Linked DNA regions of Drosophila melanogaster. The gene in region 3 interacts genetically with the main gene of each other region. Each region holds a gene or a part of one and is shown on either strand. Other genes may lie near its edges. The genes, in order: PTP-ER, tor, Dsor1 and csw.

Evidence for each region.
Region 1: of Dsor1 (region 3) and PTP-ER, changing one suppresses a phenotype caused by changing the other (phenotypic suppression), as found in Drosophila melanogaster (2 studies listed by BioGRID).
Region 2: of Dsor1 (region 3) and tor, changing one suppresses a phenotype caused by changing the other (phenotypic suppression), as found in Drosophila melanogaster (2 studies listed by BioGRID).
Region 4: of Dsor1 (region 3) and csw, changing one suppresses a phenotype caused by changing the other (phenotypic suppression), as found in Drosophila melanogaster (2 studies listed by BioGRID).

What each region holds. Positions count from the first base shown.
Region 1 is NT_033778.4:21,618,821-21,628,425, forward strand, and holds PTP-ER (protein tyrosine phosphatase-ERK/Enhancer of Ras1), read right to left. Parts: upstream 5,627-9,605; 5' UTR 5,418-5,626; coding exon 2,511-5,417; intron 2,454-2,510; coding exon 1,227-2,453; 3' UTR 501-1,226; downstream 1-500. Other genes in the region: clt (cricklet), read right to left, coding at 1-42, 96-152; mahj (mahjong), read left to right, coding at 6,376-6,785, 6,845-6,995, 7,118-7,936, 7,996-8,268, 8,334-9,605.
Region 2 is NT_033778.4:7,703,878-7,712,471, reverse strand, and holds tor (torso), read left to right. Parts: upstream 1-3,287; 5' UTR 3,288-3,526; coding exon 3,527-3,679; intron 3,680-3,746; coding exon 3,747-3,977; intron 3,978-4,129; coding exon 4,130-4,367; intron 4,368-4,427; coding exon 4,428-4,510; intron 4,511-4,566; coding exon 4,567-4,735; intron 4,736-4,803; coding exon 4,804-5,109; intron 5,110-5,165; coding exon 5,166-5,501; intron 5,502-5,558; coding exon 5,559-5,730; intron 5,731-5,791; coding exon 5,792-6,290; intron 6,291-6,357; coding exon 6,358-6,452; intron 6,453-6,505; coding exon 6,506-6,628; intron 6,629-6,688; coding exon 6,689-6,826; intron 6,827-6,882; coding exon 6,883-7,056; intron 7,057-7,114; coding exon 7,115-7,169; 3' UTR 7,170-7,289; downstream 7,290-8,594. Other genes in the region: CG1941 (uncharacterized protein), read right to left, coding at 572-729, 796-995, 1,056-1,397, 1,492-1,623, 1,679-1,776, 1,828-1,956; CG34216 (uncharacterized protein), read left to right, coding at 7,535-8,545. UniProt on the Drosophila melanogaster protein: Probable receptor tyrosine kinase which is required for determination of anterior and posterior terminal structures in the embryo.
Region 3 is NC_004354.4:9,244,129-9,251,133, reverse strand, and holds Dsor1 (downstream of raf1), read right to left. Parts: upstream 3,793-7,005; 5' UTR 3,336-3,792; coding exon 3,226-3,335; intron 2,593-3,225; coding exon 1,953-2,592; intron 1,760-1,952; coding exon 1,433-1,759; intron 1,362-1,432; coding exon 1,248-1,361; 3' UTR 1,097-1,247; downstream 1-1,096. Other genes in the region: CG17754 (uncharacterized protein), read right to left, coding at 105-364; amx (almondex), read left to right, coding at 4,073-4,927; Larp7 (La related protein 7), read right to left, coding at 5,411-6,927, 6,988-7,005. UniProt on the Drosophila melanogaster protein: Required downstream of Raf in the sevenless (sev), torso (tor), and Drosophila EGF receptor homolog (DER) signal transduction pathways.
Region 4 is NC_004354.4:2,099,089-2,105,957, reverse strand, and holds the start of csw (corkscrew), read right to left. Parts: upstream 3,670-6,869; 5' UTR 2,812-3,669; coding exon 2,183-2,811; intron 1-2,182. UniProt on the Drosophila melanogaster protein: Required in all receptor tyrosine kinase signaling pathways. Functions downstream of the receptor tyrosine kinase torso, acting in concert with D-Raf via tailless.

The DNA.
Region 1 (9,605 bases), on a different chromosome or scaffold from region 3:
TTGCCGGCCCACCAAAACGCCTTGTTTCACTGGCACTTTCACCTACAAACAAGTAATTGAACAATTTTGTTGCGATTTGGAAGCGCACTCATTACCTTCATGCTGCTGCAAAACCTGGTAAAGATTAGTCTTCCACACGGACGAAGAAGCATTGTGAAATCAGCCCGTTACGGGTTTCCTTAACAATCTAATCGGCAATTATTCGGCAATCTCAAAACCTGAATCTGAAACACTGAACTTTGTTCGTCGAAATCAGCTGTTTGAGGCGCTTAACCCTTAGCTGGTGCTGCATGAGTGATTTTCGACGTCAATTAGTTCAAGTTGTAAATAGAAAATATAAACATTTAATTTACTTTAACTTAAAGCTCTAATTAAAAGATGTAATTTTGAGTACTGGAGAATTTCTTGTTAATGTCAAAAAAGTAACTCATCGCAATTTCCCTTTACTTAAAAACGTTAAGAACAACAAAATAAAACTGCCAACTTTACACATTAAGGTTACATTTAAAATGTTTCTAATTTTTATTTGACTAGTTCCATTGCATAAACTTAAATACATGTTCATTTATGGGTTTCCATTTTACTTATCGAATTTTTATCTTGTGTTTTAAATGAACTCGTGTCCGTATTTTGGTCCACGTCCGGCGGTCGAGCTGTCCGCTTGGGATTGGAGAAATTGGTGTTTAGTCAGAAGGACCCAGGGAAGGATCCAACTTGAGAAAGGTTTGAGCTTTCTCCGCCTCCAAGCAGGATGCACAACTCACCGAGGGGCGTCGACGAACGTCGCGAGTCATATATAGATGCGCATCTTTATGGTAAGGTATGGTTTTGGTAAGGTAAGGTAGGGTATAATAATTGTTAATTAACTTTAGTTTAAGCATAGTTCACACCAAAAGTCGGAAACATTTACACTTATGTACACATTTAACACACATACATCCAACACTTAATAAACATTTATATATATGTAGAATATGTGGTAATAGTAATATTTAGAAAACATTGAAAGCATTCCGTCAATCCTCCTTCGGAGAATGCCATCATATTCCATTTTCGAGACTCTTTTAGCCATGGTTTCTTGTTTTACTTGTTGCTTGTCCGTCGCGGTTGCTTTCATTAAAATAAGGGCCACAAAAATTGTGATTACAAATAGTAAATTGGTGTTTTGTTCTTCATCTCCATCGTTTTGTCGTCAAAAAGTTGTTGATCATGGTTTTCGCTCGCTTTTAAAATCGCCTCAACGCCAGTGTGCGTTTCAGGTAGAGGCAAATGGCCCGATGGATGAGCTCATACTGCTCCGAGTTCTGGACCATCCCGCCCCGCTGCAGGCGAAGATTGCAAACGATGCCCAGGACGTCCACGAAAATGTCCGGCATCTTGGGCAGACGGTCAAAGGATGGCGGCGTCTTAACCGCCTCCGCATCGCGATGATCCAGAATGTGGCTGATGTGCCGGATGGTGTTGCAAGTAAAACTGCTGTCGCTGTCCGTTGGGTTATGGTACTCCTCTGTCGAGCTGCTGGTCAGCGATTTGGTGAGCATTCCTGTCAGCGAGTAGGCCAACGACTGCCGCAACTGGCGCACTGCATTCAGGATGGCCGTGAAGCAACCGGTGCGCCCAATTCCAGCCGAGCAGTGGATGACGGGAAGGGGCTGGACTGCATTGAAGATGTCCTGCTGGTAGATCTCCAGCCGCTGAGCAGCCAGGTGGGCATTCCTCTCGCTCCTGGTGTCATCGTAGATGTCAAACTCCGACTCACACTTTCCAAGGTTGAGTACATGCAAGCAGGTGTCCAGCAGCGTGTTGATGTCCCGAGGCGAGTGATGATCCGGCCAGTCGGGATACCAATAGTGGTAGCAGTAGATTTTCTGCAGGTGGTAGCTAGCACTCTGTGGCACACGAATGCAATAGAGCAGCACCAGCTTTCTCACCGAGTAACCATTTCTTCGCACAATGCCGACGTTTTTAATGAGGAAGAAGCTTCCCTGGGCGGGCAAAGCCTCCAGCAGATCCCCTTCCAGCGTCACCTTCACCGACTCCACGCCTATGTGCCGGCCACTTATCTCATAGTCGATCGCATCCGAGGAAGCCACCACAGTGTCCGGCACAAAGGTGGGCGTTAAATACCGATCGAAGTAATCCCGGGCAGCCGCACTCAGCTGAAACACTTCACACTTGGCGGCCACCGCGAAGATCTCATTCAATTCGATGGGGAAGTAGACGGCGCACTTCTGCCGGTTCGCTTCCGTGAAGTTTGTGAGCATGACAATCTTCTGGAAGTACTGCTGCAGGATTTGCTCCCTGTCAACGTGAGGACTGCTGCTGCTGCCTCCATCCACGCACCGTCTTATGTAGCGCTGCGTGTTCTGGTATATCATAAGCCAGAACTCGAAGATTGTATTGGGCAGTGGACCCTGCGTGGCCACATAGCACTTCGACACGTAGTCGGGTCCCTGAAATGAAGGAAATATATACATTACTTTCATTGGATTTGCGCTTAGTTCCATTACCTTGATGTAATTGGCATTAATGTAGGGCAAGTCCTCGCTAGCGGTCACGGAGCTGGTCCGTTTTATTTCCCCCAGCAAGCTAGTCAGCTCGCTGGACTCGGATTCGAGTAGCACGCGAGAGTTCTCGTTTGGCAAGATAGTCTTGTAGCGATTTTTTGTCTGCGAGCCGAAGACCATTGGCTTCTCTTGGTGATTGAGCGGCAGGTCCCAGAACTCCTTGTGCAGATCCCGAAAGATTCTCTTTTGTTCGTTTTCTTTCAGTTCCGGTATTGGTTGCGCCATCCTACTAACCACTGTCTGGTAGGACGCGAGCAGTTCACTGTCCTCCGAGCTCGGGGGCACCATATCCGTGGGTGTCTCCACATCCCGTGCGTTGGAGCCCAGCACCGGCGGCTGCTCTATGATGTTCCTATTCGTCTGGTAGCTGTGATCGAACACGTAGTTCAGCCGGATAAGATCAAACTGATTAAGTGGATTGGAGGCGCTCTGCAGCATCTGTATGCTGGCCAAGTAGATCTTGAACTCCTCGCTAGTCGTTTGGGGCGACAGAGGACGGGTCATAATGTTGCGTACGGTGCCAGCGCAAGTGCACGTCGCGCCAATGGCCTGATCTTCCCTCACCGAATCCTGCTGAGGATTGGGTTGCAAGTCCGAGGCGGATCCGAAACATACCTGCCCGAAGAACTTTTGGCTATTGGCTTTACTGCTGTTCAAGTTCTCAGTGCTAAAGAATTTGCGCTGATGCGGGGCTTGGTTGGCGGCAGCACAACTGCAAACCGTGACTTTCGGTTGCACGATGTCCGTCATCTGGATCTCGGTACCTGCTGCTCCTCCCAGTATGCTGCCCATGTTGAGAGTGAGGCTTTGATTGGAGCCACGACGTTCTAAAAGTCCTCGTTTCGGAGTAGGTACATTGGATCCAGAGCCCGATCCCGAGCCGGTGGAATTGGTTCGCATATTGAGTCGGTTGTACTTTTCCGCACTTAACATTGCCTGTTGCTGTTGGAGCTGCTGCATGGAGTTTAGATCTCCACACGATGTTGTAGTGTGCCCCGTCTTCAGGGTGATACTGTGATTTGATCCCCGCCTCCTGAACAACCCCTGCCGACTACCCTGGCTGCTTCCCAGCAGATGTGACTGTGGCAATTGATCCGCTCGAATTTGGCTGGCGGTTCCCGCATCCAAATTGCAGCTGGACTTGGAGTTGAGTATTGAGCCCAGGCTATAGTTGGAATGACTTAGTCCACTGTTCATTAGGTTGCCACAAGAGCTGTGCAGGTTGAGCGTTAAACTGTGATTGGATCCCCGACGCTGAAGGAGATTCATCGATGATGTAGACACTGTGGTCTTTGCCTGGAGTGTCGGCATCGGCAAATCCATTGACTTCTGCTTGAAAGGCGATTCCTTAGGACCACCGCCAGAGGAGGAGAACTCCACCAGGGTAAGGCACTCGGGAAGCGTTTTTAAATTTGTGCTGGACGAGTGCAGTAACTGATTGTGCTTGTGGGCGCTTCTCGGCGCTAGGCTTGCGCCTATTCCAAACTTCGAGCCACCGTCCACGCTACAGGCGGACTTCAGTTCAAAGTCCCCCAAACTGGGGGTTAAACTGGCGTCCGAGTCCAAGGAGCTTTGTGTCGTGGAGCTGCAGTGTGTCGGTTGCACCTGATATGGGTTCTGCTTGCGGTGGTACATAAGCCAGTCAGTGGTGTTGATTCCTGGTGACTTTCTGCGCGGCGTTCGTCTTTGATTGGCCAAGCTTAGGTGACTATCCAGTCGCGAGAGCGATGTTGAGTGGATAGCGGATGCGGGCTGTTGAAGATGAAGGTGATGGTGGATAACACTTGTCGATGGCTGGCTCTGTCCTGTCTCCATGTCATCACAACTGCCATGAGATTCGGTTATGTTGTGCACCACGATTGACAGTTCCGATTCGTTGGCAGCCGAGTCCAGCGAGCGGGCCTTCTCCTTGGTGCTCTTGATAGTCGGTGTCTTGGGCTTGGGCAATGGTGATGGCTGGCTCGAGTTTTTTATGGGCACGTCCGTGATGCGAATGGTGAGATTATTTTTATTCTTGCGGTTCTTTCGCCCTTCCGATTTTTGTTGCTGCTGCTCCGGCGGCTCGGCCAACGCAGGACTACGATCCCGACGTGTAGCTTCCTCTAAACAGACTGTATCCATGGGCGCATCCTGCACGACATGATCGATCTCGGGGAAGCGAAAGAAGTTGCCGTTCTTGTAGCCGGCCGAGTTAATAATGTTCAGGGGTGAACCGGACACGTTTAGGTTGTTGATGGAGGATAGTAGTTTCGGGGAGTAGCTTAGGCGACTGGCCTCCAGTCCCGGCGTCGTGGAGGACTCATCCTTAAACAGGATGGTGGGTGAGTTGTGCTCGCTCTTCGACAAGTACAAGCTGTTCTCTAGGTCTTGGTCGACTGACCCGCCCTTGGGCATAGTGTTCTCCTTGTCGATGCCACGGCCACTGACCCGCTCCTCGCCGCTGGAGGTATTAATATGCGGCGAGCAGGATCGGCGATCATACTGTGATAACCTCTTGAACTTGCGGCCTAAAGTGGGAGACTGTGAGCTGGATGGATGGTGGACGTGGGCTGCTGGATGGGGGCTGGTAATGGTGAACTGCCGGGGGGTGAAGACCTCCTCCTCCTGATCCTCGTGCTCGGGAAAGCCCGGAACCCCGCCCCCAACCTCCACCGTGGGCGACGGAAACTCGAAGGACGTCTGCAGGTACTCGAGGGGCGTAAAGTAGGGTGTACTCTTGTTGCTCTCCGCATCCTCGCCAGCTTCAAGTGGGGTCGTGTCGGAGGGGGCGGCGTGGGTGGGACGGGGGGTCTGTGGGTAGGGGTACTCAATGGGTGCATTCTCCTTGTTGTTGTTTCGTAGCTTGTCCATGATACACACACACAATTGCTGAAGCGGGGCGATCGCAGCGCAGTCGCTCCGCCCGTTTAGTGTCTTGTCCTCACTCGATCGGCATTATAACTATCTCGCCCGCACAGTTAGCACTTCCGAATTGGACGCAAATCATGGGGAAAAGAGCGTTTTCTTTTCACAACATTTTCAGAGCTAAAGCATGGAGGGCTACCAGACCGCGTATGTAATCGATCCGGCAATGCCTTCATTGCTTACCGTGCTGCCAGGCCGCAGACTAACTGCACCAAGACCTGGCAACGTTGTACCTAATTTAACCGCATTTTTCAAGTGTCTTTTAAAATAAAAAGAAAGAATAGGTTAACAGATCTAGTGTTTACATCAAGGAGTTGCAGAATTTGTAATGCAGATGTTGTACACGGGCGATAGTTAATTCAATCGATCAACTGAGATGGTATCAGACAATTATATTTTGCATGCATCCAGAAAAATTGTTGTAAAAGATCACAGACTTAGTTCTAAATAGTATTTCAACCTACCTGTATTTTTGTTTATGAAATCACTACAAAGTTGTGAACAATTTAGAAGCAACAACGTAGTGTTCCTATTACCACCGTTCCGTTTACCTCACAGTTGCACGTTGCTCTTTGGCACGCTTTTATCTGTGCATTTGCTTGGAAATAATTAATTGAGTTAGGCATTTAAATCCTTTTGTGTACTTTAGACTTATTTAAAGACCTTTTAGATTGGTTTAATTTGCCGAAAGACGAAAACAAACAAATTTGTGCGACAGCTGACTTCATTATTTCAACGACAATAGCAAAAGGCCACACTAATTTTGCGAAAAGCGCGTGGTATTTAATACCTTATTTATTTGCTTTATTTCGCCATTAGAAGTAAGTTTCGCTGTGTCGAAAATCTAGCAAAGAAAGCCACTGGATCAAGACCTAGTGCATCCAAAACCCAGTAATTCATTTCGATGTCTGAGGGCAGCGGAAGCGAGAATGCGGCCGCAGCAGAGGCTGCGGCCGAGGCAGAGGCCGCGACTGAAGCGGCACTGATGGCTGAAGCTGTGGCTGTGGCCTACCAGAGCGACGAGGAGGAGCAGCCAGAAGCCGAGGATATGCCGGAGCAGGCTGGCGATAACCAGGAAGAGGACGCCGCTGAACAACAGGATGGGGGGGAACCAGAGGCCGACGAAGACGCTGATGCTGACGACGCCATGAGCGTGGAAAATGCGGAAAACGAAAGCGATAGCGGTGGAAACGCCGAGGAAACCGCTGCCGCCGACCGTCGCCAAGCCACCAAGAAGGAGCTCACCCAGATTATCGACAAGTGGGAGCAACAGCAGACCCAAAATGGATACGATCCAGTGCCCACTCTCAGGAGGTAAGCGTGCTTCAAAATCATTAACGCATGGGTCCAACTTAATACCTTTACTATCGCAGCCTTGCGGAGATCTTTGAGCGTGAGAAGGACGTGTATCGGCGCAAGGATCCGGATCCCTTGGACTCACGACATCCATATAGAGCCGATCCCAGCTGCCAGTACGGATTGCTACTCAAGCTGCTCTTTCGGAAGGATACCTTCATGGGCAAAGTAAGAATAAAGTCATGTGATTTTTATTTTTCTAAAAAGCAATGTAAATGTTTTCTTAAAATCAGGTGTTTTAGAATTTCCAAAACATAAGCTAACTAAAGTGAAATATTTTATTTAACTAGCTCCTCAACGATTACCTGCGAGAGAACTATTTCAGTCGCCAGAATGTCAGTCGCAGTTCTCTAGAACTAAACATCTTGGCCTGCCGCCTCATTCTGGAGATAATGCCAGGAATGGAGACCTCTGCAGTATTTCAGACCGCCGAAGGCGATGGAACCATCAATCGCATCTACTCTTGGGCAGAGGACAGCATTGAACCGCTTCAGAGCTATGCCACCGGGCTTTTAGCCGAAGCGATGGAAGTGAGCGACATAGCCATAAACTTTCGCGATCTTAATATTCGATTGGTGCCAAAGATGATCAAGCGTCTGCACATGCTCCTGGCGATCAGCAAGAGCGCCACTTCAGATGTCAATACGTCGATGCACAATCTGTCGGCTGACAGCAGCACGGCGGGCATGCTTAGCTGGGTGGCCTGCGCCAGTAATGCATCGGCTCCTCAATCGCCGCAGCACAATGGCAGTGGGCTGGGAGCAAGTTCCTCGCAGCATGGAGACGCCTCTAATATGTCCATTCTGTTCGAGAACAGCAGAGATGCCTTTTCCGTATCTCGCTATTACAAACGGATGTACATTCCTTTGCACCCGGCCACAGCAGATACCAGCCAAATGTTAATCATGCGCTTCCTGACCAGCCTGGGCGAATATCAAGAGTTCCTAGCCATGGCTTTCGAAAACAATGTGATGCAGCTAATTTTTGGCTACCTGGAGAACTTGGATCGCCGGGACACCTGCTTGGCCTACGAAGTTTTGAAGTATCTGGCTTCCCTTCTTTGCCACAAGAAGTTTGCTTTAGAGTTCATTTCACACGGTGGACTGGAGGTCAGTAAATGGTCTTGTAGAGGGAATGTAATTATTTTTAACTTTACTATTTTTTACAGCTTTTGTTAAAAGTGCCCCGCCCCAGTTTGGCGACTACTGGTGTGTCCATCGCCATCTACTACTTAGCATACTGTGAAGACGCCATGGAACGCATATGCAGTATGCAAAGACCACTTATTTCAGAACTAGTTCGCTACGCGCTTTGGATTCTGGGTCGTTGCCACGACTCCTCAAAGTGCCATGCCACCATGTTCTTCAGTCTGAGCTTCCAATTTAAGGTCATATTGGATGAGTTTGATGCTCAGGATGGTTTAAGAAAGCTGTACAATGTCGTAAGTAAATGGTTTAAACGAAAGAAGTTCGATTAAAGTCAATTACCTTAACTTCTTCCTAATAGATTTCCGTACTAAAAATTCTTGATCCGAGCCACAACGACAGCGATAATGACTCTGATTTCAACGAAGACGTAGAATGTGCTTCCCGACAAATGGTGCGCCACGTCTGCGTAGCCCTCAAGCGCTATATGGAGGCGCACTTCTTCTACAAGTACAACAGCTTTCTGTGCCAAACAAATGCGGCATCCCCGGCACCGTCATCAGCCCACTATTTCAATCAGAATCCCACGGTTGCTGCCAAACTGACCTTTGACCAATTGAACGACCAGATTCGCACGCTCCAGGAGCACACTTCTATCCGGGCGCACTGGCAACCCGTGGATCAGCTAATGAAGCTTGGTGGAATCACCATGCTACTCAGGATCATCGCCTTCAGTTACGATTGGGTGAACAGTGGACGCTCCGAGACGGTGCGCTCGGCTCTGGACGTGCTCAGCGTATGCTGTATTATCCCAAGAGTTTATGTTGTGCTCTGCGAGCGCCTGCTGATGCTAGACAAGACAACTACCTCCGGATTTTGCTCGGTTCTGGGCGCTGCTGCAGGAGAGATTAGCTCGGATGCAGAGGTTATCAAATCGGCGTTAGCGGTGCTGTGCCATTGTGTTTGCTCTCCGATCATTCGCAAGGACAGCGGCACCAGCCTGATTAAGTTTGGAACGTCCTCCAGGAAGAACAAGGCCAACCATAAGTACGCCGAAGAGCTGATTGAACGTGTGTGGGAGTCCGTGTGCTCCAACAATGGCATTGTGGTCTTGCTATCGCTGATGCAGACCAAAGGACCCATTACGGATGCGGACTGTATACGTGGAATGGCCTGTAGGGCCTTGGCGGGACTTGCTCGCTCCGATCGGGTCAGGCAGATCGTCAGCAAGCTTCCACTCTTTGCCAGCGGACAACTCCAGACGCTGATGCGGGATCCCATACTCCAGGAGAAGCGCGCGGAACATGTAATCTTCCAAAAGTACGCATTGGAGTTGCTAGAACGAGTGTCGGGTAAGACGAAACCGCTAAATAATCCTTTGGATCCATCGCTGTCCAACATGCACAAGGCCAATGTAATCGCCCAGACACGCATCCAGTATAACAAGCAGCAGCTGTATCAGCTTATCTTCGAGCACCTGGAAAGCAACGGTCTCTCCCAGACAGCCCAAATGCTGCAACGGGAGGTGGGTCTTCCGCTACAGACTCCCACTACGCGCAGTTTTCATCAATCACCTTTCGACTACAAAAGTCTTCCCAGTGGTAGTAGCTCGCTGTCTAGAAATCGTCTGCGA
Region 2 (8,594 bases), on a different chromosome or scaffold from region 3:
ATTCCTAGGAGATTACCCACTTTCAAGAGCACTATGATTCAATAAGCATTTTATGCTGTGGGTCGTATTTCTTAAGATTTATAAGTCAGTTAAGTGATAAGCTGTATTACTTTTATACTACATACAACGAAATTACAAAAACATACAACGGATTAAGTTGTATGCTTGTATGATGAAATAATTGTTTTTTAATTGAAGGCTGTAGTTTAAAAATCAATAAAGCTGGTTGAACAGGGATTATTAGAAATAAATGATAATGCTGTTATTACTACATTTGGTATATTCTGCGCTCATTGTTATGTTTTTTCCCTATATATCAATTAATAAATCATAGTTATTCATTTTAAATTGAACGCCAACTTCTACTGATCGTTGATCAACACTGTTTGCCGTCTTATCGATAAATAATTGCTATCAATAGCGATAGCTGCTTATTCAAAGTTTCGATCACTACCCGTCGTTTTAAAAAGCTTGTATGGCAATTTTATTTGCCTGATAAAATTCGTAATTTTTATATTAAATGCTTATAAAGCACTCATTTGATCACATTGTTTAGACAATAACTTCTCGACTAGTGTATAATCAGCTTGTCCTGCTTGGAGTTCGGTATGTACTGATCCTTGTACTTGGCGAACATCTTCTCCAGGTCGTCAATAACCTGTTTGTGTATCTTATCCACATAGGCTGCGTCTGGTTGATCGCTCTGAACCACGTCGATGGGAGCGCCAACTGAAATTTTTTAAAGTTTATTTGAATCTTACAACTATGCGACATTTGAATGAGCTGAGGACTCACCAACTTGGACAATGCGTCGACGGTTGGGCAGAAAGCCAAAGGAGTAGTTGAAGATGCCCCGGCCAACGGGAATCAGCGGAGATATCCCCGTTATCCTCTTTACAAAGTCTTGAAAGCGACGAACCCGAGAGTTCGGTGGATTGGCAACCTGATCCAGAATGTCCACCTCGCCAAAGGAAAACGTGGGAACAATCGAAGACCTAAAATGAAGACCGGATACAATTAAAAATAACTTTTAGTTGTATCCGATTTCAACCTACCCTGTCCTAATGGCCATTTTAACGAATCCCTTGCGGTTCTTCAGTGTCAATATATATTTGCCAGGGTGCGAGTCTAGTGCCTCCTGGGCACCACCCACCAGAATAGCCACCGCGTTGGAGGTGAACCCATCACGATTGTCCTTGTGCTTGGGATCGTTTGATTTGGTTAGCAGATATACTAAGGCCTCCTTGGAAACCGACACCAGGCCCCAAGATCTCAGGAGACCACGCACGATGGGCGTCAGGAAGTTTTGATCCAAAGTGGCCACCTTGGGCCTCACCTGTGGGAACAGTTGCAGCCACTTGGAGATGTCTAGACCCATATTAATGGAAATGCCAGTCCTATCAGGGTTACAATATGTGCGTAAGAAGGTATACAAATGTTTCGTCACCTAAGCAACCATCGATAAGATTGACTATCAGTCAACAAGCTTACCCCAAAATTCCGTGCGGAAAACTGGCCAAAATGTAGTTCTTATTCGGCGGCAGCTCTGCGGTCTTGACCAGCTGTACGGGAAAGTAGTCCCGATAATGCCGAAACAGCCAATTGTTGCGGTTAATTTTCCAGCTAAAATGGATTATTTTAGCTTTAAGTGTTCTTATAGGGACTTCATGACGCCTACCCATTGCCATCCATAATGGAGTGGGTTCTCTTGTGATTCGCGTAGACGTAGACCAAATAGATGACCATAATGGTGCGCCACAAAAGGCTTCCATAGAACTGGAAGGGAATGCTTTACTTTTCAAAATATTGAAGCACTGATGTATTTACCAGCACGGCAGCAACGAAGAAATAGGATCCAAAGGAGAGTATCATAAAGGATAGGATTAGGAAGGCCATGGCAAACGTCTGGCGACGCCGTTCCATGGGAACTCCTTTGGGAGCCCACTCGATTTTCATGATGTCAGAGCTCTCGAACTCGGAAAGTTGAACTACTTGGTAGCACGGTCCTCCGGCGACTGAAAAATGGAAATGTTCAATGTTTAGTTACCATTTCTTATCCTTATCAGTATCCGTCGGTGGCGCGAGTGCGTGGCTATTGGTTAGAGTTGTTAAAAAAATACCTTCGATTTAATGGCTATTCGCTTGGGGTGTTTAAAAATTCGAGCAATCAAGATAATGACTTGCTCTATATGGACGTCTGGCTAGAATGCCGATATGATATTATATGATATGATCTTATCATTGCCAACAACAGCCGGCTTTAACGTTTGTCCGATACTTGTGATCACATATATATAATTATTGTTTTGAAATTTCAATTGCAACTGGTTTGAATGCCTTTAGAAAGAGAACGAAACTGCTGTTGCACGACAACCTCCTCACTTTAATTGAATGGTGATAAAACTAACTGGGAGTTACTCGTATTGCTTTTGATCCGATCCGCTTTGGCCTAGTATCACAGGCTAATTATTTTAAACTTGTAGAGCTTTAATAAACTAGACGCTCCCATAGAAATTTATTATTAATGTTTACACACGTAATGGATCGTTATCGCGTTTGAGCAGCAGAACCGACGATGCGAGCGTACAACATTTAACTAAACTTGCGAGTGGCACTGAATGCTCGAGTTTCCCATGTGAGTGTTTCGAGTACTCGAATGCGATGCAACAATTGAGTCACCAATGTAATCGAGCGTTCTATACGAATAACCTGAATCAGAGGCAACTGAGGTCATGTGCATTTGCAAGTCGCTATAAGGAAATACCTGTATTGTCAGCTCTGTTCCAATTGAAATGGAATCAGGGAAAGTGTGATCACGCAAAAGCTACAATGTGGGCGAAATTAGCATAGTTGTTTTTTGGTTAATTTCGAATATTGGCGCCCAACATGGTTTCTAGGGATGGAAGCGACCAGCACTGCATTCTGATTTATCGGTTTGCTGCAATACAAGCTCTTTTGGCGCAACAGATCATAGAAGATTGAAATACAAACGTTGTTGGTGGTATCACAAATGAAAATTGCGAAGAGTTATCTGAAGTCAATGTTCTATGCTTATCCCAAGCCCTGGCGCTACTATGACGGAGTAGCGATCCAAATTTTTGCATTTCAAATGACCCCTAGTCCAATCCCATCCATACGATCAAGTACAATACGATGCAGTGAAGAGGTGAAAAACAAATCAAAACAAAATAGCGCAAAATATATTCAACGAGTCCGCCGCTTCTCATCATTCCTCCTTCTTCGTCGCTTTTTTACCATCGCATTTTTGGCCTCAGTTTCTCAGTTCTTTCTCAGTTCAGCAAGATAATCCGAGAAGGACGGATGGTATTGATCTCGAAAGTTGGAATCTAGAAACTAAGTATTCGAATTTGCTGTGTGTGTTATTGAGTTTTGTATCAAAGTGCGTGGTGGCAAAAGTGCAATAAACTTTAAGTCGGTTTTAAACAAATACACATTTCATTCCAACACACACACACCGACACACAACGAAGAACTAAAGAAGGGTTTCAAAAGCAGAACAAGGAAAATGCTTATTTTCTACGCGAAGTACGCATTTATCTTCTGGTTTTTCGTGGGAAGCAATCAAGGTGAAATGTTGCTAATGGACAAAATCTCTCACGATAAGACGCTTCTCAACGTCACCGCTTGCACCCAGAATTGTCTGGAAAAGGGCCAGATGGTATGTTTACACCCTTAGAATGTTGGAACACTCCATAACCAAAAGTGCATGCTTCTTTTCTCGACAGGATTTCCGAAGCTGTTTAAAGGACTGCAGGATTAATGGAACATTTCCCGGGGCTCTGCGCAAGGTGCAGGAAAACTACCAGATGAACATGATCTGCCGCACGGAGTCGGAAATCGTTTTCCAAATAGATTGGGTGCAGCACAGCAGGGGAACCGAGCCGGCTCCAAATGCCACCTACATAATCCGGGTGGATGCTGTCAAGGACGACAACAAAGAAACTGCGCTTTACCTGGTCAGATATTAGATGTAAACTCATTACTATTTACTTTAAAATACCATTTTATTTGATGAATTTCTAGAAAAAGATGTACTATGTAGTCATCAAGACCTAATGTTTCGTTTTACAAGTGGATCGCTCTTTTTCATCGACTTATTCGCTTGCAGTCTGATGACAACTTTCTCATCCTGCCGGGATTGGAGTCCAACTCTACCCACAACATCACCGCCCTGGCGATGCACGGAGATGGCAGCTACTCCTTGATAGCAAAGGACCAGACCTTCGCCACCCTCATCCGAGGCTATCAGCCCAGCAAAATGGGAGCGGTGAATCTGCTGCGGTTTGTCCCCCAACCAGACGACCTGCATCACATTGCTGCCGAAATCGAGTGGAAGCCATCGGCGGGTAAGTAGCTCCATCAGTTTAATCAATCAACGATCTACGAACCCTACTTTCATATTCCAGAGAGCAACTGCTATTTCGACATGGTGTCGTATTCAACCAACAGCGTGAATATGGACGAGCCACTGGAGGTGCAGTTCCGGGATGTGAGTATGCCATGACGCCCCTGCAATGCTAGAGCATAGCTAATCTTTTACTGCAGCGCAAAAAGCTGTACAGGCACACGGTGGACAACTTGGAGTTTGACAAACAGTATCACGTTGGCGTAAGAACGGTGAACATAATGAATCGACTGGAGAGCGATCTGCAGTGGCTGCCAATCGCTGTTCCAAGCTGCTTGGATTGGTATCCCTATAACTACACACTCTGCCGTAGGTTCCTCGAAAGTCCTATATAATAATAATATTAATAATAATAATATTGTTCCACCCTTTCATAGCACCCCATAAGCCAGAGAATCTTACTGTGACCCAGAAGCAGTATCTGCCAAATATTTTGGCCCTGAACATCACCTGGGCGCGTCCCAGATACCTGCCGGATAACTATACACTTCACATCTTTGATCTATTCAAAGGAGGTACGGAGCTAAACTATACACTTGACCAAAACAGGAGCCACTTCTATGTACCCAAGATCACGGTACTGGGTTCCCATTTCGAAGTACATTTGGTGGCCCAGTCGGCAGGCGGAAAAAACGTATCCGGTTTGACGTTGGACAAGGTTCATCGAGGTGTGTTGCTGAGCGGTACGTACGCTGAAGGAAATTAAATATTTAGACATCCATTTCCATCCATTGAACAGAGGGCAACATGGTCAAGTTGGTACTCTTTATTATCGTGCCCATATGCTGCATTTTGATGCTGTGCTCCCTGACGTTCTGCAGACGAAATCGTTCGGAGGTTCAGGCGCTGCAAATGGACGCTAAGGACGCGAAGGCCAGTGAATTTCATCTCTCCCTGATGGACAGCAGTGGCCTGCTGGTCACCCTCTCGGCCAACGAGAGTCTGGAAGTAATGGACGAGCTGGAGGTGGAGCCACACTCGGTGCTCCTTCAGGATGTCCTCGGCGAAGGAGCCTTTGGCTTGGTGCGACGTGGAGTTTACAAGAAACGCCAAGTGGCCGTCAAGTTGCTGAAAGGTTGTACCATTTGGTATTGAAGTTCTTGAATAATTCATGGAATTTTTGTTCTCACAGATGAACCAAACGACGAGGACGTATATGCGTTCAAGTGCGAAATTCAGATGCTCAAGGCCGTGGGCAAGCATCCAAATATTGTGGGTATCGTGGGATACTCCACTCGTTTTAGCAACCAGATGATGTTGCTAATTGAATACTGCAGCCTTGGAAGCCTGCAGAACTTTTTACGGTAAGTTATTTTTATACATATTGGAAAACAAGTGATGTATAGTAAAAAATGTATTACTTAGTGAGGAGTGGAAGTTCAGGCAGGAGCAAAATGCAATTGGACTTAAGAAGAACCTTGAACAGAACGTGGACAACCGACGGTTTAACCGACTCCCTAGAAATTCCATCCATGATCGCATAGAGGATATCAACAACTCGATGCTGTCCACTGTGGAAGAGGAGAGTGAATCGGATCAGACACACTCAAGTCGATGTGAGACCTACACCCTCACTCGAATAACCAATGCAGCCGACAACAAGGGCTATGGCCTGGAGGACATTGAAAACATCGGTGGGAGTTACATTCCCAAAACCGCTGAAGCTCCAAAGGATCGGCCAAAACGGAAGCTGAAGCCGCAGCCCAAGAAAGACTCGAAGCAGGATTTCAAATCGGACAACAAGAAGCGAATCTTTGAGAACAAGGAATACTTTGATTGCCTCGACTCATCGGATACCAAGCCCCGAATACCACTGAAATATGCAGATTTGCTAGACATCGCCCAACAGGTGGCGGTGGGAATGGTAGCCTACATCTACTCTATCCCTAAATGTAATTAAAAAGTGTAGCATGTATCATTTGCCATTTTAGGAATTTCTGGCCCAAAACAAAGTAGTGCATAGGGATCTGGCTGCCCGGAATGTTCTAATCTCCGTAGATCGCAGCATCAAGATAGCAGATTTTGGGTGGGTATCTCTGAAAGTTCAATGATTAGTTATATTGTGTTTTTTTTTTTAAGGCTGAGTCGAGATGTGTATCATGAGAACGTGTACCGAAAGTCCGGAGGAAGTGGCAAGCTGCCCATCAAGTGGCTCGCGCTGGAGTCCCTCACCCACCAGGTGTACACCAGTCAGAGCGATGTGTAAGTATATATTTTTGTTAAGTCCGAAGCGATTTTGTGGCTGATATCTTACCCTCTTAGTTGGTCCTTTGGTGTGCTGCTCTATGAGATCACCACTCTCGGTGGAATGCCATATCCGTCGGTGTCTCCCAGTGATCTCTTGCAGCTACTGCGACAAGGTCATCGGATGAAGCGACCGGAGGGATGTACGCAAGAAATGTGGGTATCAGTGCTTAGCGAAGTACATAATTGTTGATCACATTTGCTTAACTCAGGTTTTCCCTGATGGAAAGCTGCTGGAGCTCCGTGCCATCACACAGGCCAACATTTTCCGCCCTTAAACACAGACTTGGTGGCATGATTTTGGCCACTAACGATGTTCCAGAAAGGCTGAAACAACTGCAAGCTGCAACCGAGTCAAAATTAAAGTCATGTGACGGTCTAAACAGGTAAGTAATCTTTAAAAAGACAATTGTATACGTTACTTTCTTACCTTTTACAATTTAGTAAAGTGGAGCAAGTGCCATGCGAGGAAGAGCTATACCTAGAACCTTTGAATTAATAGTCATTGCTTCAAGATTATAATGAACGAGTGCAATACATTCTAAATTCGAGTTCCAATTCAGACAATGCTATGCGCCAGATAACCTTGCATAGCAATAAACATTAAAGCTAGCCTAAGAAAAATTTAATTTCTTTTTTATAAGAAAAACCAAGATATTTATAGAGTAAACTTCTAGCAGTGCCCTTTATGTCTCATAGAAACCGACCATTTCAAAATGTTTGTGCCTCCTTGCGGCTTAGGTTTCGAAAGAAGGTCGTTTATTTGGACCCCAATCAGCATCATTTTTGAAAATTCCAAATTGAAAGTCGGTCCAAGCTGGCTTGTTTACAGTGTTTCAATTCTACTTCTGGCCACCTCGATCGATGTGCATCCACTGCTGTCGCCTCCGCCGGACACCATGTCCACCGATTCCCTACAGCTGTCCACACTGCCCGGTGCGCACCATCTCCAGCTGCTGTCCACTGGGCAGTCGGCCCCTCGCCGAGAATCCTTTCATAAGAGGTCCGGATCGGGAGCCAACCCCCGATCCCTGCGACACCTTGCCACCGCGCTGGCTGGACCTCAATCGACGGGTCATATTTGCCTTGGCAAAAAGATTATGTCGATCTCCAGAGGCAGCTCATTATATTTTGCTTCGCCTGTTGTATGCCAACTATAGAAAAGTGATGATGATATCCAGAAAACGAAGGAGATACAAGGTGCCACTAAGTGGGTTTCCCGATCAGGATTTGTTCTCCGCCAGCGCACATTTCGATAGCAATGGTTACCTCTCCGATCCCATGGCTCCCGAAACTCTGGGAAAGCTACTCCACATGATGCAGGACTACATCCTTCGGCTGAGAGCGCTGAATCGCAAGTACAAGTGGTGTGGCAACGGCGAGGACTTTGGAGATGTATTGCTCCTATTGGGAGAGCAAGACGAACTGGTACGATTGTTAAGAGATCTCTTTGGAGACAGCGATGTTGTGTCCATTCCAAAGCTCCTGAGCGCCCTTAGCGAGCTGGAAATCAATAATTTATACGGAAAGTACAAGAAGAAAACAGTTCCCTTTATGGTGAGAAGTATATCTGATCTCTACTCCGAAGTGACGGAACCAAAGAGTCCAGTTTTGATATCATTAGCGCACATAGCCAACAAAGGAGTTTCCCCTTATGGACCGAGCCACTTGAAAAACATCTTGAATTTCAGTCCAAAGTCCTTGCCTATGATGGGTAAACACCCACCGCCTAAAAGAAGTAAAAGTGAAAAATGCATTCCAACATCAAAAACGAATTTAACCCAAGCAGTACAAAATACCCAAAAAAAATCGAATTTCAAGGAACCAGCAGACAGTACTGGGATTTTAAGTCCAACTTCCAAGAACTTACAATAAGATATCACAGCAAAGCCACTTCAACCAAACCAAAGGAACCTTCTATGAA
Region 3 (7,005 bases):
ATGATCCCGATCCCCGCTGCTTGCCGACCATCGTTCCAACATCGATCGCAGTGATGTGGAACGCCAGGAATCGTAGTTCCAGGATCAGAATTCAGTGCTCTCACCTCTTTCCATCGATGCCAGCGATTAGGACCACATCGCACAGCTGCTGGCTATCCACGTAGAGCTGCATCCGTTTGAGTATATTGTCCGCATGGTCTCGGCAGCGAAAGAACTCATCCTGGCTGCCCGCCGAGTTCAAGCTGCCCAGGCTGTAGTCCCGCGACAGCGATTCCAATGTGTTGTCAGCCAGCATCGATATGTGCCCGGATGTGGAGGCCGTCGAGTCCCGGCTGGGACTCTCCTTCTGGTTCACCGCCGACATGGTTCTTCTTCTGTTCTGGCTGTGCGCTCCTTTTCAGCGAAACGTCTGCATCGGATCACTGGCTGGAAGCAACTGGCTGGCGGCGGTTGGCAGAAGGCGGATCGTGGATCGCGAATCGGTGAGGCCGATGGAGGGGGTGGCGCTGAAAGGTGGATGCAACGGTAATTTGCAACAAAGAACGCTGCCTCTTGCCACAGTGCGCGTACGTCTGTGTGCTGTTGTGTTGGTGTGTTGGTGTCGCCTCCGATCTATTCCACTCGCGATCTTTGAATCGTTTCAATTGGCCGCGAATTGCGTGCTGGATCTGTAACTGTAACTGTATCAAGCTGCACGAGCGCCCGTGTATGCGTTTAGTTTATGTGTTTATATACAAATTCCACAGCTGTTGTGACACACTCTGGCCACACTGAATTGATTTATTTATTTTCTCACAGTGTGACCAAAATACACGCACATCCAAAAATACCTTCAGTATATTTTGTTTGAAATATATATTTTTTTGAGGGGATTCCCATTTAGATCGGCAAATACTTTTTTTTTTTTTTTTTGAATTAATGTATTTCATACAATGGAGTGAAGTCTGAATAAAAATGACAAAATTTAATTGAGATACAATTAATTCGCTTATGTATTCAACCTTTTGCAAGATTAGCAATAACACATTATAATTTTATGCATTATTTTAAAATTAAAGATAATCCTCCAATGCAAATAATAAGAACACCCCATCATACATGGTATGACTTCGATTTCTTTATTTTCGATTTAATAATAATAATAATAATAGTTCAGTTGTTTTTGCCCAGCGTCAACGCTCTATTGAACAAAGAGCAAGTGTGGATATGGGAGGATAGAGAAAATGGGGGCCGGAACGCAGAGGCGTCTAGTTGGGCGACGTATTACGCTTTGGCGTCGATGGCGGCAGGTCCATTGTCTTGCACACCCAGCCGGATATATCCACCTCCTCCAATTCCGCCTTGCGTATCCACGGATGACTCTGCCGAAGAATACATAAAACAACTTGAATATATATATAACTGAAGAAATGGCGACGTTTCGTTTGCTTACCAGCAGGGTCTTGAGATCTGCCCGCTCGTCGGGCTGTTTCTTCAGGCAGATGTCCACGAAGTCCTTGAACTCGGTGGAGAAGATCTTGTGCTCTAGCTTGGGCGGCGGTTCGTTTACAATATAATCCAGCAGCTCGAAGATGGCCATTGCCCTGGGCTCGTCCGTCGGCTGGCCGCTCTCCTCCGCATTGTCGGCGAATATCGACTCCAGGGTGGCGGTGTTTGGCGGCGGGATGGGGTACATGCCGATGGCCATCTCCACCAGCGACAGACCCAACGACCAGATGTCCGACTGCACGGAGTAGTGGGTGCCCTGCAATCGCTCCGGCTGAAACAAAGAGGACATTAGCATGTGAGTTATATAGATCTCTTATAGTTGGCTATATTTAACATCTGTGCATAGATGAGTGCCTTGTTTTGCTATTGCAATGTTCTTTTTTAAATACTTTCGCCGATTTCATCGACCTTCCGTTGTTTAATACACCTAAGTATAGATTTTGATTAGCTATCCAGTTACTTACCGACATATAGCTACGGGTGCCCACAAAGGAGTTGGCCATCGAGTCGATCAGTTGACCGGAGACGCCGAAATCACAGATCTTGATCTCGCCGCTGCTATTGACGAGGATATTGCTCGGCTTCACGTCACGGTGGATGATGGCGTGATTGTCGCGCAGATAGCTCAAGCCCTTGAGCACCGCCAGCGTGATCCTGCCGAGAATGGACTCTGGTATTCGACCGGCCCGCTTGAGGATCAGGTCAAGTGATCCACCGTCCATATACTCCATGCAGATACTGATCTCGCCGTCGCTGTAGAAGGCGCCGTAGAAACCGACAATGTGCGGGAAATTACATTCGTGCAGGACTTTCAGTTCGCGCAGGATCTGTTTCTTGATCGCCGGCTTCACCTCCAGATGGATCAGTTTCCTGGCCATGATCAGGTGTGTGTGCGTGTGCCGGACCTTCATCACCACGCCGCCATTGCCCGATCCGAGCTCGCCCAGCTTCTCCAGATCCTCGTCGGACAGCTCGCCGATCTTCTCCTTCTGGCTGAGGAACATCTTGATCCGCTTGCGTTCCGTGTCGCCCATGTCCAGACCCTCCAGCGTCTCTGTCAGCGCATCGATGCTCGTCTTGGGCTTCCCCAGCAAACTGTGTGTGCTTTAATTTAACCTCTTAATGAATTTTTGCGATCCAAAACGAAAATGTAAAAAGTGCAAGCAATGGATGGGATTTGAAAGTGGGGGATGGGATGAGGGGCGGGCCGAAGTTTCTCCTAATAATAAGAAAACTACACAAACATACACATCAAATTACATATGTATTGTGTTATGTTATGTTGCCTACATTTTGGTGCTCACAAAAAAATATACGATAAAGGTAGGACTATTAAATTATAATTTCTATTTATCTTCGAAACTGACTTTGTCATCCCGTTAATTAATCCAAAAAGCACTAAAACAGTTTACTGTATTTACTCAGTAAGTTTTTTCTCGCTGTGTACCTGTGCGTCACACGAAAGGAGCACCACCCACACCAACAAACAAAGAGAGAGTACCTGCTCTTTCACTCCGACTGTCTCTTTCTTTCCAGCTGGATGGGATTTCCTTGGATCAATTGATGGATATTAATTACCCACCTAACTCGCAAAACTACAGGATTATCTTACCACTGAGTAGGAAACCGAAAACGAGGAGTGGAAGGGGAAACAGCGAGGGAGGGGGGATGCGGTGTTATTGGAATGGGTGGCCTAAAAACCAGTCAGTTATTAAGGATATTATGTATAATATTTACTCTGTGCCCGAGGGGGTTTTGAATGGCGGCGTCGGCGCCACTGTGGCGGCGGCAACAGTTGCCTCCGTATTTACCGGCGGCAGCACCAGATTCAGCTTGTTCTTCGACATCTTACTATATATAATATATATCTCTCGATACCGTTATCCGTTACCGATAAGTTAAAGCACACAACAATAACAACAACAAAAAAAAACTAATAAATGAAACAATACAAATAGAGAGTGTTCCAGTGGAAACAACAACAAAACGCACTACGAACAGCGGCGTCCGACGAACGGCTGAAGGGTGTGAGGGGCGAGGGGCGTCGGCGAGGGGGCGTGCGAAGGGAGGCCAAGTGCGAATGTTTCGTTTTGTGTGTCCAGCCGCTGGTAAATTTGCACCAATTCCTCGCGTTGCGCTTAACTTTAACACACCCGAACCGAGCACACGAACAGCAAACGGATAGTTAATATTATTTTTGCAATAATCAGCCAAAATCGGCGACTTTTGGGTTTTTTTCGCAGACGGTGCGGTATGGCCAGATGTCGCGATTACCAAATACCGTTAATACACTCCTACGACTAAAGCGGCCAATGGTCACAACTTAAATGGAAAGGATATTAGGATTAGATATTACTAATTTGTTACGATGAGGGGAGAGGTATACTTATCTGTTTAGCCAATTTAATTGAGCCAAAACATATCTATAAACTATTCGATACGCTTTTTAAAGAAATTTCTCCTGAGCATTCGCGGTTGATATTTTCATGCCACGCGTATACGGTCACACTCTCCCACCCCACTCATTTTCTTAAAGGGAAAAACAATAACATTTCCGGCGTATTCCCCGCTCTATCTGACCAAAATGAGGCTCCAACGACAGTGCATTGTGGTCAACATGCGATCGGCCATTGTCCTGATCATGATCTTCGTGCTGACGGGGATCAGGAACAGCGAAACGGCCAGCGGTGGCAACCAGATGGACTTATCGGACTCAAAAGGCGATCACAAGGATAACAGCAATGCGAGCAATGGCAATGGAAATGCCAACGATAACGAGGTGTATGTGCCGCCCCTGGTGTCCAGCATGGTGGCCAAGAGTGGAGGAGGTGCCGGTGGACTCCTGGACAACATAACCGCCTACAGCAGCAGCAGCAGTAGCAGTAGCAGCAATGGGAACAACAACATGCTATGCCCGTACGATAAGGAAACGCCCTGTGATCGCCTGCAGTTTCCCTGCATCCGTTGCAACTACAATCATGGATGCATCTACGGCCGGGACTTGAATGTAACCTGCGAGGTGATCAACAATGTCCAGTGCCTGGGCGAACGGAGTTTCCAGCGACAAATGAATTGCCGATACTGCTACCAAACGGAAATGTGGCAACAGAGCTGTGGCCAGCGCTCCAGTTGCAACTCGGCGACGGATAAGCTATTCCGTACCAACTGCACCGTGCACCATGATGTGCTCTGCCTCGGCAATCGATCCTTTACCCGCAACCTGCGATGCAACTGGACGCAGGGCTATCGGTGGAGCACAGCCCTGCTGATTAGCCTCACGCTAGGGGGCTTTGGAGCCGATCGATTCTACTTGGGCCACTGGCAGGAAGGGATTGGAAAGCTGTTCAGCTTTGGCGGCCTCGGCGTCTGGACCATCATCGATGTCCTGCTCATCTCGATGCATTATTTGGGGCCAGCGGATGGCTCACTTTACATATAGTTTAGTTTTACAGGGGTTAATAGGTCATAAGCTAACTTTTCCATTACAGTGTACATAATAACGAATGCAAATATGCAACCATTAGGAATAGCAAGATCTTCTCAAAAACGTGTACATAATTAATTAGGAAATGTATTTTATTAATAATGCCAAAAGTTCTTTTTTGTATCTTTTATCTAGCACAATTCTTTGATCGTATCAATAAATAAGTGAAAGAGAAAATATAACCATCTCTTTCTCGTTCCTGTAAGATCAGACAAATTTGTAAAAATAAATGGTTTGTTTCATTCAGAAGATTTATTTCAATTTCACTAGGAAGTTTCTTTTTTAAAAATTCAATTTGTTTTTACAATATTACTCTAATATTACGAAATCTTGTGCTAGATCTAAATGTATCTTTTGCTTACATTTATAAATTTATATAGCTTATATTATAGAGTTTCCTGAAATGAAATCCAAACTCACCCCTCAACTGAAAGTGACTCAGTCCATGGCGGCCGCCTGCACTTCATCATCGCCATCATCAAACTTAATGTGCTTGCCCAGCATTTTGCCCACTTTCTCGCGACCGCGTTTTTGCTGCACGCGCACCTTTTTCGAGAGTTTCGCCTCGCGATCCTGCTCGATTTTTCGCCAATAGAGCGTCTCCTGCTGGCCAGAGAGCACTTTCAGCTGCCTCTCGGAGCAGTTGACCTGGCGTAGCAGTTCCTCGGCTGCGGCAGGCGTGCCCAAACGTAGTAGGGCCACTTGGTCGCCCTCCTTAATATCCACATATTTAATATCCGGATATTGGCGCATTTCAGCCTTAAATTCTTTAACATTGGTGCATGGTTTTAGCAGGGAGCACTCCACAATCAGCCCGGGCTCGTATTTAAAGAGCGGCGTGCGTTCCTGCGAAGGTTCTTCGGATTTGGTGGATTCCACGCCGCCGGCGCCGTAGAAATTCATGTTCATCTTGTGCACCGCCTTGCGACGCTTGGCTGGCACAGGCGCTGCTTCTACGGCACCTTCACCGCCATCGCTAGGGACCTCGCCTCCGGTTTCCTCCTCTTTAACTGCCTCGGGCAGCTGTGAAGGTTTCGGATGGTTTGGATGACTGGTCTGCTGGTGGTGAGGGTGCTGCTGATTTTGTGGGTGATTTTCTCGCCACAGCTTGCTCTTTGCCTCACTGACGATGCGACGCTGTAGATTCAAGTACTTATTGCGCATACTGCTCCAACTAGTCTTGGGTAGCACCTTGAGCTCCAGGGCACTGGGCTCAATGTTTGGCTTGTCCACGATCGCCTTCTTCTTGCGCTTGCGACGGCGCTTTTTGGCAGCTTCATCGCCATCGGTTGCCTCTGTTTTGTCCTCCTGCTCGGAGGCTTCGGCTGTGCCCTCTGCATCCGTTTCACTCGCTGTTTCCCCAGCTGTAGAGGTCTCGCTAGGCTGGCCCTCCTCCAACTTAACCCGTTTCACCTCGTGTATCTCCTCGCGATCCTTGTCGGTGGCCTCCCTTTTTAGATTTCGCTTTGGCAACTCAACCTGTTCAGCCTCTGACTGCGGCTGCTCCGCTTTCTGTTGTATCTGCTGCTGCTGCTGAAAGGAGCGCACACTGGCCAGATCACTGGGATCGGTTTCTACGGACAAAACGCCCTGTATCTGGGCAAAAGCCTTCACAGCTTTCTCCAAGGACCCGCTCTTTTCGAACTCGATAAAGGCAAATTCCTTGATCTTCTTAGTGCCCGGATAGTGGGGCAGGGACACGTAGGCCACCGGTCCGTAGCGGCTGAATACCTCCTTCAGCCAATCGTGAGTGGCATTTGCAGGCAGGGCCTCTACATACAAGGTTTTGTCGTTGACATCGCGCTGATCTGGTAGCTTGGTACGTCGCTTGACCTTTAGTTCGGTCTCATCCAGCTCCAGAAGCTGGGAGTTGCTTAGTGCCTTGGCTATCTGCTGCACATCCTGGGTGAGCGTCTTTATCTTATTGAAAGTGAGAAAGATTTCCAATGGTACATCTGTAAAAGAATAACATGATCAGTGTTATGTTGGCTGGTGAGCCAACCTTAGCTACTCACATGGATCCTGCTCTACGT
Region 4 (6,869 bases), 7.1 Mb from region 3:
TCAGTGAAAATTTTGCACCTTTTTGCATCATTTACAGTTACACTTACAGCAGCGAATGCGAATGTGGCGTATTTGTATTTACCATACGGAGGAAGCTGCGCGCCATTCATGAAAGCGCCGCTAAGGTCAACAAACAGATTTACATGCACACACGAATATGTGCAGCGTATTCGTACACAATATCCGAATACATATACAAATCCCCCCCTCAGTGTTTTAGTCGTTTCGTTTGTCACAGGTTTATTTTGCTTTTCGTGTGGCAACGCACCTGGAAAGGCGGCAGCGAAACGACTGGTATTGGGGTTACGAGGTGGAGCGCGGAAGCAGGGGAACGAGGCCTTCAATTAATTAACTCAAAAGTCGGCAAGATACTTATTGAATTATCGAATGAGCTGCTTGCCCCTACCCTAACCGCCCACTCGCAAGCAGTGTGTGAAGTAGTAGTACAGTCTATTCAAAACATAATATTTTTTGAACAGTTCAAACTGTTAAAATAAGCATATAAACGATATGTCAAGTTGGAGAACTGGACGGGGAAAAGTACTAGTTGGGGAGAGTCTGGGATAGAATTGTAAAATTTCCATGGAGTTACAACCCCAGAACAAAGCCCTCCCCCCCATAATTGGGCCTTTCCACTGAGAGCATCTTGTAGTCGGCCGACGTTATGAATTTGCACAAATTAAACGCTTTTATTTGATCAGTAGCCACAGCTCACGGTTGTGCAACGGACAAATAAACGGAAATATGCAAAACAGAAGGCAGCGCTCGAAATCCATTACGGGAAATGTAATTTCATAAATCGTTAATCAGCCTTATGGCGAGAAGAAAAACCATCGGAAGGTTAATAGTTCTACAAGGCGGAGGGCAGAGGACGGCGGTGCCCCATTGTTGACCTAGTGAGTGTGACAAGTGAAATCCGGAAATCACGCAGCTTAAGCTGTCAAAGCTATTGGCACATCATCTTCAGATCATTTGGCATGATGTGCGTTTTAGGATAACGACGAAAAGATCGCCCTAAAGCAGGATACCTATAAAAGCTGAGCATAAATTAGAAAAACAAAGATCAAGTTAACGAGCCAATCAACACGTTCAGCGATTATGAATCCGTTGCGATAAAAATCAAAATAAATAAATAAGCAACAACCGAAACCGACTGCACTACCAATCCGAGCTCAACTAAAAGTCAAAGATAATTTATGGGACATAATAATAGTCCAGCAGATACATATGCGATTGTTTTCTGGGTGTACTGTGCGAATCGAGATCGCCAAGATGGGGCCAGCCCACACAAACAATCGGACGGCACATGGCACAGCCGGGCAGATAAACACCAAGATCAGACACGGAGTGGGATGGAATCTTTGGGGAATGTGGACGACGGACAGCGCAACAGCGGGACATGGGTAAACATTCCGGGCGCGAGTGAAGAGATAATTCCGATCTGGCAGTGGGCCAAGATACGATGTCTGCAGTGGGCAATTCGCCGAACTCTCCCGGTTCTACAAGTGCGTAATTTAGCCAGTGCCTAACCAATAACTCAATCTTCAGCTCTAAATGAAAGAACCAATATCGAAACACAACTTGACAACGGGCCAATTGTGTGGGGGGGGTTGATATGTTGATATGTGACCATATTTGAGTGGCGATCTGAGCTGGGCCCCCTGCCATTTGCCATTCCACTCCCTTCACTTCACTTCGGCATTTGACAGTCGGAAATTCATTCATATTAGAACGTCAATTTACGATTGCTTGTTTTCGAGTCGAATGCTTTGCGTAAATATTTACTCATTTTGCGTGGCAATTCTGAACACATGACAGTATGTGCTGCGCTGATTTTTTTTTTTTTTTGCTTTGTTGCGGCGTCAACTGCCTGTGATTGCCTGCCTTATTAGGGTTAATGTTGATGGGCAGCAGATTGTCTCCAGATTTCCCGCGAATCATCTGCTACTCCGCGACATGTGACTGACAGGCGGGGCGACATACTACGATGCGATGGTAGCTCAAAATACCATTTCACCTGCTACGGGGTATCGTTTAGTTGGCAGCCTGACAACTTCATTACTCGCACTCCAATAACAATTAGTGCCTAATTTCGCACGCGCCCCAAATTAGCAGAACGCTGCTCTTTTTCTAACACTCTGGACTGGACTGCTGTCGTTTTTTTTGGGCGACCTGAACTTACGTGTAACCATGGAGCTGGACGCGCATGGTGGCCAAGAGGGACAGTGTGCTGTTGGAGCAGCTGGCGCCGCCGAAGGCGGCTGGGAACTGGGGCGGTGTGGCTGTCCAGGAGGTGGGCGTGGCCGGGTAGGAAGCCTGCGGGCTGGGTGTAAGACGGTGCAGAGATTCCGTCGATGTGGAGGCGGAGGCAGCGGCGGAGGGTTGGGCGGAGAGAGGACGACGTCTGCGCTGCAGTCGGTTGTCTCGATTACGTTGCGCGTCAGCGCCCTTGGCCACGCCCTTTATGATCTGGGCCAGCTCGTCGTGGGTCATACAGTTCTTGCAGGCCGGCTCCTGGGCCTCGGGTGTCTCCGTTGGTGGGGTGACCTTTGCTTTCCGACCCTTGCTGGCCTTGAACTTGCCGCTCCTTTCGCGCTCCTCCGAGCGTCTTCCCTTGCTTCCGTAGTGCGCCTGTATGGCTCTTTCGTACTCAAAGTTTCGCTGATTGTTGTAGGCATTGTTGTTGTTTAGCGTATTGTTATTGTTATTGTTGATATTGTTGTTGTTGTAGACTTGTTTCTCTTGCAGCTTGTGATTGACCACATTGCCCAGCGAGCTGGACAACTTTTCCAGACATTTGTTGAACAGCATTTTCTTCACACTCGTTTTCTCGCACACACCAAAACAAAAAGAAGCTTAGATAGTAGTATTCCACTGCGGAAAAATGCGTCTCGGCTGGGGTGTTTTTTTATTATTTTTTTTTTATTTTGTTATTGTTTTTGTTTTATGTAACAACTTGCCCACACACACGAACACACACTGAAAGCACAAAAACTAGAATTCTTGGTTTTTGTTTTTTGCCGCTGTTTGTTGTGCTTCTCTGTTTGCTTTTTATTGATCTTAGTCAGCTCGATTAGGGGAAATGTCTACAGTTTGTCAAATAGAGTGCTGTTTACCCCGCATTCGTTTATTATTGCACAATCTTCTTGAGAGCCAGCAACAGCTTCTTTTCGTACGACTTGACATTGATGGCCTTGGCCACGGTGGTGCTGCTGCTGTTGATGGTGCTGGTGGGTTTGACCTCTGCTGGGGATGCGGCCTGCTCGTCGAGTCGCGATTGTGCCGCCATCAAATGCTCCAGGACAAATGTGGCTGAAGGCATAATTTTCGCGCTTTGCCTTCGAATAACAAAAACACTCGATGGAACTTGTACTGGCGCCCAGTAGAAATGAAACGAACTGCTTGCCGCTCGACGACGAACGGCGACTGCTTGCGAGCTGAGCTGCTAACCCGTTGGATCACAACTCGAGAATGAAGCGCCTGCTGCCGAGTCTGAAGCTTTTTGCCTCGGATTCGAAATCGCAATCGGAATCGAAATCGGATTCTTGACGTTGTCTCAGCGCGGCTCCTCTCTTTGCGATTCGATTCTTCCGCTCTCTCTTAGTGGCTATATCTCTCGGACGGGAGCTGTGGCCTGGTGGTGTTCTAAGCGCTGGGGTATGAATGAATCTGAATCTTGACTGGCTGCGGACGGCGCTTTTTGTTTTTAAATCCAGCCGGCGCTCTGGTTAGCCCTTCCTGTCGATCTCGTGGGTGGGTGTTTTTATTTATGGGCTTTATTTACTGTCAGCGAGCCAGAAGTCACAAACAAATACAAAAAAAAACACAGTAAATAAAACGGAGCGAAAGACGTAACTTTGAAATTGATTGGCAGTGGGTGTGTGCACAGCTTTCCCCTGGGCTCCTGTTTCAGTATCATCAAACTGCTTGGGCCCCTCAGCGGGCGCCACTTAATTGTAGCCATCCTGTGGACGCCACTTACGGTTTATTCAGAAAGCGAAAGCACTTTGAATTGCAATCAACATTGTAAAAAATTACACTTTTACTTTTCATTTACTTTCAATTAAGTGCTAGAGCCAGGCTAATACCTATAAATATGTATAGCGGGCTCCACTCTATGTTTATTTCGTAATGACTGTACTCCTGGATGAGTCATGGAGTTCATCGCAATCAGAATCCGAATCATACACATTTCGAAAAGCAGGCACATAAGATTAATTCCAATCCGAAAATGGTCATTTCGTGATATGAGTGTGTTGTTGGCTTGTAAGAAAGCAAATACAAAAAGCGCTTTTAGCGCCGTCCGTTGCCTGCCACCGGAAATGAAACTGAAGCCGCACAGCAACTACTGTGGCGGCCATCTAGGCAAGGAACTGGGTTTGCTGGGGGGCAGGTGGGTTGGTGGGCAGGTGGGCAGGTTGGTAGTTGGGTAAGTGGGAGCTAGAAGCGAGCAGTGCCAAAGCTCTCTTACAGCGCAGGCGCAGACGTCAGAGGTGCGAACGTGCGCAGAATATCTTTTTTTTTTTTTTGGCCAGCAAAACAAAATCGTTCGACGTGCGACAGCCTGCGAACTGCGATCTAGCAACACTTTACTTCCAGCCTCGTATTCATGCCTCCCAACGATGACGAACTATTTTTTTTTTTTCCAACATTTCGTCATTGTTTTTTCGCTGGAAACCAACTAGAACTTGTTACCCAAACCACATTCAAAATCCACTCAATGGAAATTGTCTCCGAAGTGTTCGATCAAAATTGAAAATGCTCAGCTCAAACCAGTCGGGGAAACCCCATGTAGCTATGCATGCATGCATCAATGCAAACAGGATGTTCCAGGCCAGGTGGACCAGATCCGTGGAAACCACATGGGGCTTCTGGGCGCAGTTAGGTGTCGGTTAAGAATATTAGTCATTGCAATGGCAAATGCAAGACGAGAAGTGCATTAAAAGTGAGTAGAGATGATTTGAGCTACCTGATTGCTATCGATACAGAATTAAGAGCGAGGCCAACATTGGCCATTCGCAAGTTTAAGTTCTTAGAAATGATCGGGTAACGCAATTTAGAAGTGGCATTGACCAATAGCCTACCCAACGTGTTTACATTACGTATGGAATTACTAAAAGTTCCGGCGAAGTAGTGAGTGCCGTGAGTGCCGCCCTACCCAGAAATAAACTTGATCGGTACCAGTTGCCAGAGCGACAGCCCAGTCCCAGTATCCCCAGTGCTCCATTCCTGAGCTCCGCGACCTTGGCTATCCCGATTTCGTTGCTGGAGACCCAGACCGCATTTGGGCACAGCCAAAACCATTCGTAGGTGCGATGGGGAGTGGGCCAGAAATAAACATAATTTATTGTTCAGTCGGAGGCGGGGGATGGTTAGTATGCTAGGCACACAGCTACATATGTGCCGACCACTGATTGTTCGCCACTCCGAATTGGGATTGAGATTGAGATTTGGTCTCGGGACCCAGGGATGGCAGCCAGCGGAGCCGAAGCCAAAGCCCAATCCGTAAGTGAAGCGTGCCGGACCGAATGCGCGGCGACAGCTCCTCGAAATGGGTTATTCAGTCGCCAAAAGCCAATAGCCGATAGCCAATAGCCAATTGGCAATCGCAAATCGATTGTGGGTCGCTGCGGGGACCACTGTACAGACGTGTTCGCACTAAATCAGCCAAAAACCAACAGAACTGTTTTGCGGCAAATGCCAGAGAGTATAGTTTATGGGCCATTATACCGGGCATTTGTGAGCTTGGTTATATGGTAAATTTTAAAATGAGTACTTTGCGACCCCACCCAGAAAGGGGTAAATCAAAAATAGACGGGAAGAGGCAATTAGGAGAACTACTTATATTATTTGTAAATAATTTACAAATCATAAATTCACCGCCGGTGGGCGTGGGCTGCATTTTTTTTTTTTTTTTTTTAGCTAAAACTCAGCTTGTTAACAAGAAATCATACTGTTTGCTGACAATGCAGGATTCGTGGCACCAACTCAAGCACCGAAATAATGTGTAAAAAGTTTTATAGGATTATTGCATCCTGCACAAACATGTTGCGTTTCCCAATCTCCAAGCCTAGAGAGACGAGCCCAGTTTTAGTTGTAGCCAGGTGGGCTTCCCCATAGCGGCCGAGATTTATGATACTGCTCGATTTTTGCCATGCTCCACCAGCCAAAAATATATACCGAGATTTACGATCAGTGTCGTAATTCATACTATTAGATGGAATGCTACGTGAGTGCTTCCATGTAACACTTTTTTGTAAGCAAATCAAACCTCCAGCTCCGCAAATAGCAGGGGACTCACGGCTGCTTAGTGGCGGCGTAAAAGTATTCCTTTTGGATTGGGTTGGAATATTTCGTTGGTTCGTTGGCCTGGCCCCCCACAACTTTGATTTTCGGTCCGTCGAATCAATCCCTCATCCCCATTTATTGACTCGAATCTTTCCTCGTTTTCTTTGTGGCTCATTGTTTTGGCGATGTTTTGGCGAGGGATTTACCTGAATATTTAATTGCGAGACGGACGCATTTGCGGTTCGTGCCGGTAGCTTTAAATTGTCGTGTGCTGGGCAGTTTAGGATACCAAATATAATGAGCGATCATCTCGATTGGCGTACATATACATACATACCATACATACGTGCGTTTTAAATTTAATTCACTTCGTGGGATTTACAAAGGGAAAGCACATCAAAAACTAGCCGTTGCTAGTGATAATGATAAAATGTAGTTGCGATTTGCATAACATCATTGGGTCAGGTGTGATGCGCTGGCCATGCAAATGACCAGTGCTCACAATCCAGTCTATGCAATCTATTTCGATTTATTTTCCAAAATCGATAATGAAGTTTACCCATAAATTGCATTGCACTGAC